2 linked regions of the Tribolium castaneum genome follow. The protein of the gene in region 1 interacts with the protein of each later gene in a biochemical or structural test. Links are inferred from orthologs where the notes say so. Each region holds a gene or a part of one and is shown in the gene's direction. Other genes may lie near its edges. The genes, in order: Dys and Dg.

Region 1 (4,527 bases):
TCAATACTGTAACTTGGTTTCCAAACATGACGACAGACAGCCAGATTAAAAGAGCCCTTTTTGCTGTGTTTGCCACACTACAGACACTTGATTAAATTTTACAACAAGAAATAGTTTGGAAATCACCTGTGGGTCACCGGACTAATATAGTCCATTAAAACGTACGCTGTTATGCTCTGAAAGTGGAAAAAAACACCATTCAACATGAAACAAAAAATTATGTTCAAGTCAATCGGCTTGCTGTGGGTGAAATCTACTAAAAACAATGTGGCTGGAACTTGGATAACTACACTTGCGATGCTGGTGTAAAATTGAAGCTCTGCAGGTCTAAAATTCGATTTAAGTCCAGGTTTTTAAGTAATATTTTCTTACGTGTATTTGAACTTATCTCCCGATATTAACATTTTTGAATACACATTTTGTATACATTCAGTCAAGTTTGTGGCCATTGCAGCTATAAAGCCACGAATTTCAAAACTAATCTCATTAATTGAACACAGGGCTAATCCAGACATCACAGGCAACAGACTCAGATTCACATAGAGCCCCGTTTGCTCGCCTAAAACAACAATACAGAAAAAAATTGTTACCTAGCTCACATACCTAGAAGAAACCTAGATATCAATACTGTAAATAAAGGTGCCGAACTTTTGATTGTTTCAGTAAAACTCACTGCCACGTAATTTAGAGCTACCAAACCCAAAACCACAGTGAGAAATCTAAAAATTAAAACCAAATTATTTATTGTCTTCTGATTAAAATCAGGGACCCACCTTGTGCACCCAACCAAAACCATATGCCTGTAAAACCCAGGTGGTTTGCTCAACCTTTGGGACGGTTTATACATCCCACAAGGGAAGTACAATTGCACAAAGCCACAAGTGGCCGTCATCAGCATCTGACATGCTCCTGATAACAATGATTACAATAAATGTAACTCTGCCACAAGCCTTACCTAAGACAGTGGGGTTTCCATTCAGGAACGTCAAAATATACTTATTTAAAAACAAAGTGCAACCACTGAAAAAGTACCACAAAAGCAGGAAAAGTATCGCTCTGAAATTAGCAAGTCCGGCTTTGTGGGTGTCCACATCAGGCAGTTTCTCCTTTTTGGCGACTACATTGTTCTCCTGTTTCACATCATTCGAGTTTAACGTGATTTGAGCTTTATCCATCTTCTGAACAAACTTATCTAAAGATCATTGCTGTCACACAGGTGCGGAGTTGCAGTTTATCTAAGTCAATTTTTTGCACAAAGGCCAAGCAATTGTTAATTCATTGTTTGAAAACATTCACTTTACACGTCAGTTCACAAAAAGCAGAACACTGATGATTTGAACTTAACCTCCAAACCCATGTACTGTCACTAGTGTCAGGAACAGATGACTGGGGTGGTGCTGGGTTGCCAAGTATAATAAACACACTCAATTTATCACTTTTATTTATTCTAGGTGCACTTTTGTGTACCTAAAACAGCAAAAAAGAGCGAATAGACTCGCTTTACCGAAAATAATACAATAAAGGAAAATTTTGAAAAGTGACTCGAGCCTCTTTCCGCCCCCTTTTCAATGTTATTGACCATTTTTCAATACACCAAGGGTCGAATTACACCGTTCAGTCTGTTTTTTGGAGGGAAAACTTGTCTTTTGGGCCCGTTTTTCGTGATGATTTGATTTGGGCCCTAAAAGCCAGGCAAAAGTCTTGCAACGCTGCTCACAAATTGTCAGAGTGACATTCTCGCCACAAACAAATAAATGAATCAAATTCCTCCTGAAACAGCTCCAGCAGTAACGTATTGATTATTTCTTAAAGCGTGTCAGGGAGTGTTATGACAGGGAAACAGGTGCGCGGTCATCAACCCTCGCCGTTGTAAACATTGATCTGTGTGAAGAGGCCGAAGAAATGGCCTCTTCCAGTCAATTTGCCCCCACATTGTGACATTGGCCACGATGCAGAAGAAGGAAGAAAGCTTCGAGCACAAAAGGCTGGAGCTTGAGGCATGGCTGCAGCGGATGGAGGCCCGCCTTGCCTCCATGGCGGCCGTGGGCCACACCGCCGACGTCCTCGAAGTCCAGCTCAGGGAACAAAAAGGACTTCACGCCGAACTCCACCAGTTCAAAGCACAGATCGAGGCTTTCAACCAACTCACACAAAGACTGATCACAGCGCACCAACACGAAGACACCAGCCGCTACAAAAAGGTACACTCTGACCTAACCAACCCCAACTAAACCAAATTTCAGACAGCTGAGTACATCAACCAGCACTACATTCGTCTGGACGCCTGTGTCATCAACAGGGGGAAATTGCTGCACTCAGCCTTGAGCTCCCTTCAGAACCTAGACCGCTCCCTTGACAAATTCCTCGCGTGGCTCAGTGAAGCCGAGTCCGTGGTGGAGACGCTCGAGGGCGATGCGGAGTCCCGCAGGGCCGCCCATCAGTTGAAGGAATTACAGGCTGATGTGGAGCGACAAGCCCCAGCTCACGCCGCCCTTCGCTCGTCCAATTTAGCCCTTCTGGGGACCATGGCCCCCGAAGACGCCCTAATGCTCCAATTGAAGGGCGATGAGATGGAGCGGCGGTGGCAAGCCCTGAAGACACGAACCTCCGATTTGAGAAACCGGCTGGAACACAATGCCGACTATTGGAACGCTTTGCTTCTATCTTTAAGGGAATTGACCGAATGGGTGATACGGAAAGACACAGAGCTGGGGCTAGCAGCCCGCCAGGACGACCACCGAGCGTTCCGCCAACAGCTAGAAGACAAGAGGCCTCTAGTTGAGGCGAGTTTGCGGAGCGCTAGACAGTTCGTAGCGGGGGACCCTTCCGGCGAACTGGCCCGAAACCTGCGGAGGGAATTGGTCAAACTCTCGGATAAATGGAACGCTCTGATTGATAAATCGGACCAGTTGGCCGCGAGGTTCGAACAGAACACTATTGTAAGTGTAATTATGATGAGTCTAATTGAATTATTAATTTGTGGTGTTTAGAAATTGAAACAGCTGACTTTGAATCTGGAAGAGGCGTCCGCGGCTGTCTCCCGTCTAGAGCGCGCTACGCTTAGCTGGAGTGGCCCCCGGAGTGCAGCCGAGGCTAGGGAACTTTTGGCCAGTTTGCGGAATTTAGAGACGCAGCTGCCGCAATTGCAGCGTTCGTTGGAGGAAGCCAGGATTCAGGCGGCTTCCTTGGGGAATGCCTTGCCGAATAATCTGGCCACACAGCTTGAGGATTGCAGTGCGAGGTGTAGGGCGCTCCAGGCGGCGATCAGGGAGAGGCGGGAACAGCTGACTAGCACGACTCAGGGTGAGTTGAAACGTTCTGATTAATAAGTGTTCAATCTTTACGGGTCTGATCTGCCCACATGTATGTAAATTAAAAATGTTGTTGACCTCAAATGTTTGTCTAAGTTTATAGCCGAGAAGTCCTAATACCTACACAAACTTTCACATTTGAAACGTGTGACAATACAAGATGCAACTTTTTGTTCGATACACTTAAAAAACAATGACTAGTGTGATGTAAAGGTGTTAAATCATATTGTGGGCGTTATAAATTAATCTGTTTACACAACAAATGTACACGGGGACGTAACTACACGTCAAGTTTTATTAAAAAGTGTCAGTGTAATCAAAATAGTGGTATGTTCAAGAGAAGATATTTTCTAAGTATGTATTACCTAATTACTACATTCGCGTCTGTTATCTAAATGATCCTTTGGGTGAATTAACTCTGGCACTGAAAATATTATCAGTGAGTTAAGTAATTATGTTTTATAACAATGAATCTTCTTTCGTTCGAAATAAACGAGACAAATTTAAATGTTTAGATAGAGATAATTGCAACAACCCCACATATATTTTTGTAAACTAATGTTGAAGCCAGTTGTAAAACATTTTTATTTATAAAAATATAATATTAGTGCACAATTGTAGCACAAAATTATAAATTTTTGTGTTTTTTGTTTTCTTCCAATAGACTGTGGAAAATTGAACATTTTTTCAAAAAATTTAAATCTTTGTAAAAGACAAACATAACAACAGTCTCATTTTTTTAGTAAATCATAAGAAGACCTTTTTTATAGTAAATCAAAAAATTTCTTAGTTGCAAAAGATTTGACATTTTCAGTCGAATAAATTAAATTTTTCCAGGGGAGATATCCCCAGGCCCCTCCAGCGTCCAGCCGCCATGGGAGCGCTCCACCACCCCCAACAAAGTCCCCTATTACATCAACCACAGCACCGAGACAACCCATTGGGATCACCCCCAAATGCTCGAACTAGCCACTTCTCTTTTACAACTCAACGAAGTGCGATTTTCCGCATACCGAACGGCTTTAAAACTACGAGCAATTCAGAAGAAACTATGTCTAGATTTAGTCAGCATTAATGGTGCTTCGGAAGCGTTCGACTTGCACGGCTTGAGAGGCCAGAACGATAAATTACTCGACGTGGCCGACATGATTTTGGTGTTACGAGCGATTTATGCAACTGCAGCTTCGCTACAACCCGCCCTAGTCGATGTTCCTCT
Region 2 (4,569 bases), on another chromosome or scaffold:
ATTACATACATCGAGAAAAATAAACTCTTTAATGGCAAACGCTAGTTTTTGTGCGACTATTATTCTTTGAGATATACAGTGGAAACTATTTAAATCGAATCTCTATCATACAATGGTAGTATAGTTCAATTATTTTTGAAAAAAAATACATAAATTTGGTGATTTTTTAGGAGATTTATGATAAAATTCGGCAAAAATAAGAGTTTTTTAGTCAAAGACGTGCTGAAAATGATAAAAAAAGGTAAAACAATGTCATTTTTATCATTATCTGGACCACATTACTTAACTATTTTATTCCGAGAAAGACCTGATTTGAAATGATTTTTTTTTATTTTTTAGAGGTTATTAATACAAGATATCAAGCATATGTCTGTCTTTTTACAATATATTTTACAAAATTTTCAAGAAGAAAGACTAACTTAAACATGTAATATACTGCAAATTTATATTTTGTGAATTTAAATTAGTTTGTTTATTTTATAATTGTCAAACAAAAGGATATGAGAATATAAAGAAATACGTAGAAATTTCGATATTTTGAATTTTTTGTGGTAACAGGTAATTCAACTGCTAGAGGTTCTACTGTAGTTATATTTCCAGAACGCGTTGAGACTTTTAGTGGTTTTTAAGAAATAGCAGACGGAAAATTCAAAGCAATCTACTAGATATTAGGGGACTTAGGTAAACAAGATTGTTTTTTTTTAAACAACCGATACAATAAAAAATAGATTAATAAACAAATTTATTGAATAAGTAAAATGCTGAACTAAAAAATTATGATACATAACAAAGACAAAGATAACAAAATTTTGTTGAAATAATAAAGGAGACAAGAATTATAAGGCCAATAATGTACATAAGAAAAGTGAGGAGCTAGTACACAATAAAAAAAAATATCAATAAAGATATTAAAATCAAGCAAAAATAAGACATTACAAAATAGAAAACGTACGTATTTACCTACTGAAGAAGAGAATCCTAAATTTCAAAAACGTAAAAATACAGAAATTTAATGGAGAAGGCGAAAAATATGAAAAAATAGCAAAAGCATAAAGAAGTACATCTATTACGAAACAAAGACGAAGAACAAATAAGGATTTAGATAGATAATTGCAAAAATGAGACCATTTAGCATCAGCTTTATATGGAATCATATAGAAAACATCATAATATAAATTCCTTGCGTGTTACAGGGGTTCCACTGTAATTATTTTCCAAAAATCTTGATAAAAACCTACACAAGATACCACAGATTCAGTCTCCAGAGCCATCTCTTGTGCATAATCAACATTTTTTACAGAACATTTTCCACCCCAAACTCGCAACCCTCCTCACTTACAACCCCCACCAGCTAGAGCAACCCACCCTTAACCACAGACCGAAATCTGTACTCTTTCTTCTCTTTCTACAGAATTCCCAGTTACGTAATCACTTCCATTCTCTATTCTCTACCAGATGTCGCCGTAGCACCTCCTCACTCACACCACAGATCGAAAGACCAGCTGTTAGGAGGGGCAAATGGGCAGTTGTGCATCTGAAAACTGACAGTCCACGAGCATAGTACGAGATGAAAGGGTAGTGAACGCGCTTCTAGTGTAGTGTTTGTGCCATCATCAGCAAAGGGTTAGCCACTTCACTACTCCTCATCGACCATCCAAGAGGTGAAAAATCCACCTTTAATCCCTCTAAACCCTCACTTTCTGTTAGAAATTCCATGAAAAGCTCACATGTGCGACCCGATCCCGAGCCGGTTTCTCGCTGAAGGGGGCGCATAAAGCCCGAAACGGGGTACAATACAGCAAGCTTTGTGTTTCCCCTCGAGTAAAAGCGCCCATTTGTTATTTTAAGAAACGGAAAAAGCTCCATTTGTTTTAATGGCTTGTTTTGGAATTCTTGACGCGACATGAGTCAAATAAATGAGCAGCGATTAAAGATACGATGCATATGAGTTAACTTAATTGAACATGAGAGGATATTATGGCCATATTTAGACACAAAGAGCGCTTCAAGGCTCCGAAAATCAAATAAAGGCAAATATGTGTCGATGGTATTTGCTTACAAAAGTTGCACAAGTCGACGGTTTAACACTCGGCTGCGAAAGCAATCATAATAACTAGCTGCATTTTCATGACTGATAATTCCAAATTATTAATCTGGCAATGAGAGCGCTCCATATCGTTCAATAAAACATTAATTCGGATTGATGGCTAATGAAATAATTAATCCGAATGGAATCAAATTATTCCGTGAGTAATTTGTAAAGGAAATCACCAAACAAACAAAAAGGAAAAAGATAATAATAATTAATGAAAAGCCCCGAGTTTTGTATCAAACACTTCAAAGGGAGAATTTCGAATGGAAAAGAAAATTAAAAAGAGCTCGGAATTAGGAAACTTTACCGCGAATGTAATTCGAGACGGAGTCATTGTTTATCGTCAGATTTACGTCAAAACTATAAATTTAAAAATAAGCTCAAATCGGAGTAAATAAATTTATCAATCCAAACAAATTCGTTTTATTTTGATTTTGATTATCCAGCGTTACATCACTTCTTTGAAGCCGCCGAGTCTAAAATTATTACGACCGCAAAGCTCCTTGATTGAAATTTGAAATTAATTTCGTCGCATGCCTTTTAAGGGTCGCTCCTTGGCCTTCGTCCGTCTTGAATACCAATATTTTATGACAAATCACCAGTTTTAGCAAAAATACCGTATGCACTATCTCTTGCATAAATCTCGGCCCCTTTATAGCCCCATTACCGCTACAAAACACTTTGATTTGCCTCTTTTACGGCCGGAGATGCTGCGAGTGGGCATCTCATGTTCATAACCCATAACCCGATCTTTATTAAAGGTAATAACTAAGCACATAAACTATTAGTTTCTTTGTGCGAAAATATCGCTCTTCCAAACAACTTTCAACCCACGATGCTCCTGGATAAGAAAAATCTAATCCTTCGGGTTTTCCACTCCTGACGCTAATTTATGATCGACACAATTTTTCACTCTTTCATTCACTAGTGTGAGTGGTGTCTTATCCTTAAATGTGTAAAACGAAAGTTCCTTTTCTACTTGTTCTTGAATCTCCCCTAATCTTTAGGTTTTGTTATCTCTTAAACTTTCTTGTTTTTTTTTCTAACTTTTCGCAAACTGGTAGTGGTATTTTTGCGTTTTTAATTAAAAAAATGCATCAACTCGCACTTTCAACCCGGATTTTCGCCTTTATCACCTTGCAGCGATAATTAAAGCGCTGTTATTCCAGAGATATCGAAAATAGCAACCCGGAAACAAGTACTGCCAACTGAAATCGTAATTTTAACCGCAGAATGTTCCCCGTGTTGTGATATATTCGCGTTAAGCGGAAGAACAAAAGTGTCTTGAGAGAATTTTCTCGTTCGAACTTTCCTAATGTAATTTTCGTCGTGAATTGATAAAGAAAGCAAACGAGAAGTTGGGAAATATTGATTTGTTTTAGGGTAAATACGAGGACATTTCAAACACTGATGAATGCAAACAGCTGTCGAACGAGATGAAAGTATTTTTCGAAATTACATTTGCAGCGAAATGAAAAATTGCACCAACGATTGAAATAACGACGCCGGAATGTTGTAATCGCAACTGTGCGTGCTTGGGCGGCTTTTCACGCGATCGAAATAAAAATTTGTAATTTTTGAAACACATTGCTATTTTCAGATCGCTTGTTTGAAAGATAACGCTCCTGTTTGATTAAAAAGTGTAATAAACGCATTTGCATTGAACTTATAAATAACCCAAGGTTGCTAATTTAATGACACTTTATTTGTTGCCAACCAAGTATAAAAAAACACAGACAAGTTAGAACACTCCGCATATGAATTGTTTTAAGGAGACTCAACAAGGCTTCATTACAGTCGTGGTTTCACGAACTAAGTGATAAAGCTTTGTTGTTTGTAAGTGATGTTAAACCTCGCATATCTCTCGAGTAATCCACATTTAGTTAAGATTTCCATCACATTTCCCTCATGTCGGTCGTCACGTCCTTAGATTTTTATTAATGACCGAATTATCGCTCATTGAATGAAATAGTAACCTGGCTGACCCCACTTATCACAATATTTGGAAAATTCGTGTTAGTCCCCGCTTTATTTGGGCGTGAACGCGGAAGCTTAAAGTGGGTCGTTAACTTCAAAGCGTCGCTTCAAAAGGGCCGACCCAAATATTCCTACATAGAGGAAATCTACGATATTACGTTGATATATGAAAGGACGCGCAAATATTTAACTCTTGTCGAAGAAATTTGAATGAGAAAAGAGCCAGCTAAATAAGACCGGTTTGGACCATATGGGCGCAAATAAGGCCAGATGCAGCACGCACAAGTCAACACTGCGCAATTTTTGCCACAAATTAACTTTTCCGATTTTTTTCGAGTACCCTCGGTTTTTTTTTTGGAAAAGTAGTTATTAACAGTTGGATTGTTGGGTGTCAACTTATTTCAAATTCAGGGGCCTGTTGGTGGTGTTGCAGAGCCATAGATTATCATTTAATGCCCGGAGTCCGTCTCTGTCGAGGCGGCTCGGCTCGTTTCCAAGGT

Evidence for each region.
Region 2: the proteins of Dys (region 1) and Dg form a complex in vitro, tested with the Drosophila melanogaster proteins (2 studies listed by BioGRID). The link is inferred for Tribolium castaneum from reciprocal best matches to the Drosophila melanogaster genes Dys and Dg.

The regions. Positions count from the first base shown.
Region 1 is NC_087398.1:6,146,135-6,150,661, forward strand, and holds the start of Dys (dystrophin), read left to right. Parts: upstream 1-1,608; 5' UTR 1,609-1,949; coding exon 1,950-2,201; intron 2,202-2,243; coding exon 2,244-2,939; intron 2,940-2,990; coding exon 2,991-3,303; intron 3,304-4,148; coding exon 4,149-4,527. Other genes in the region: solute carrier family 35 member E2A, read right to left, coding at 1-77, 127-327, 373-559, 604-719, 774-909, 956-1,175.
Region 2 is NC_087396.1:21,080,184-21,084,752, forward strand, and holds the start of Dg (dystroglycan 1), read left to right. Parts: upstream 1-1,503; 5' UTR 1,504-1,661; intron 1,662-4,569.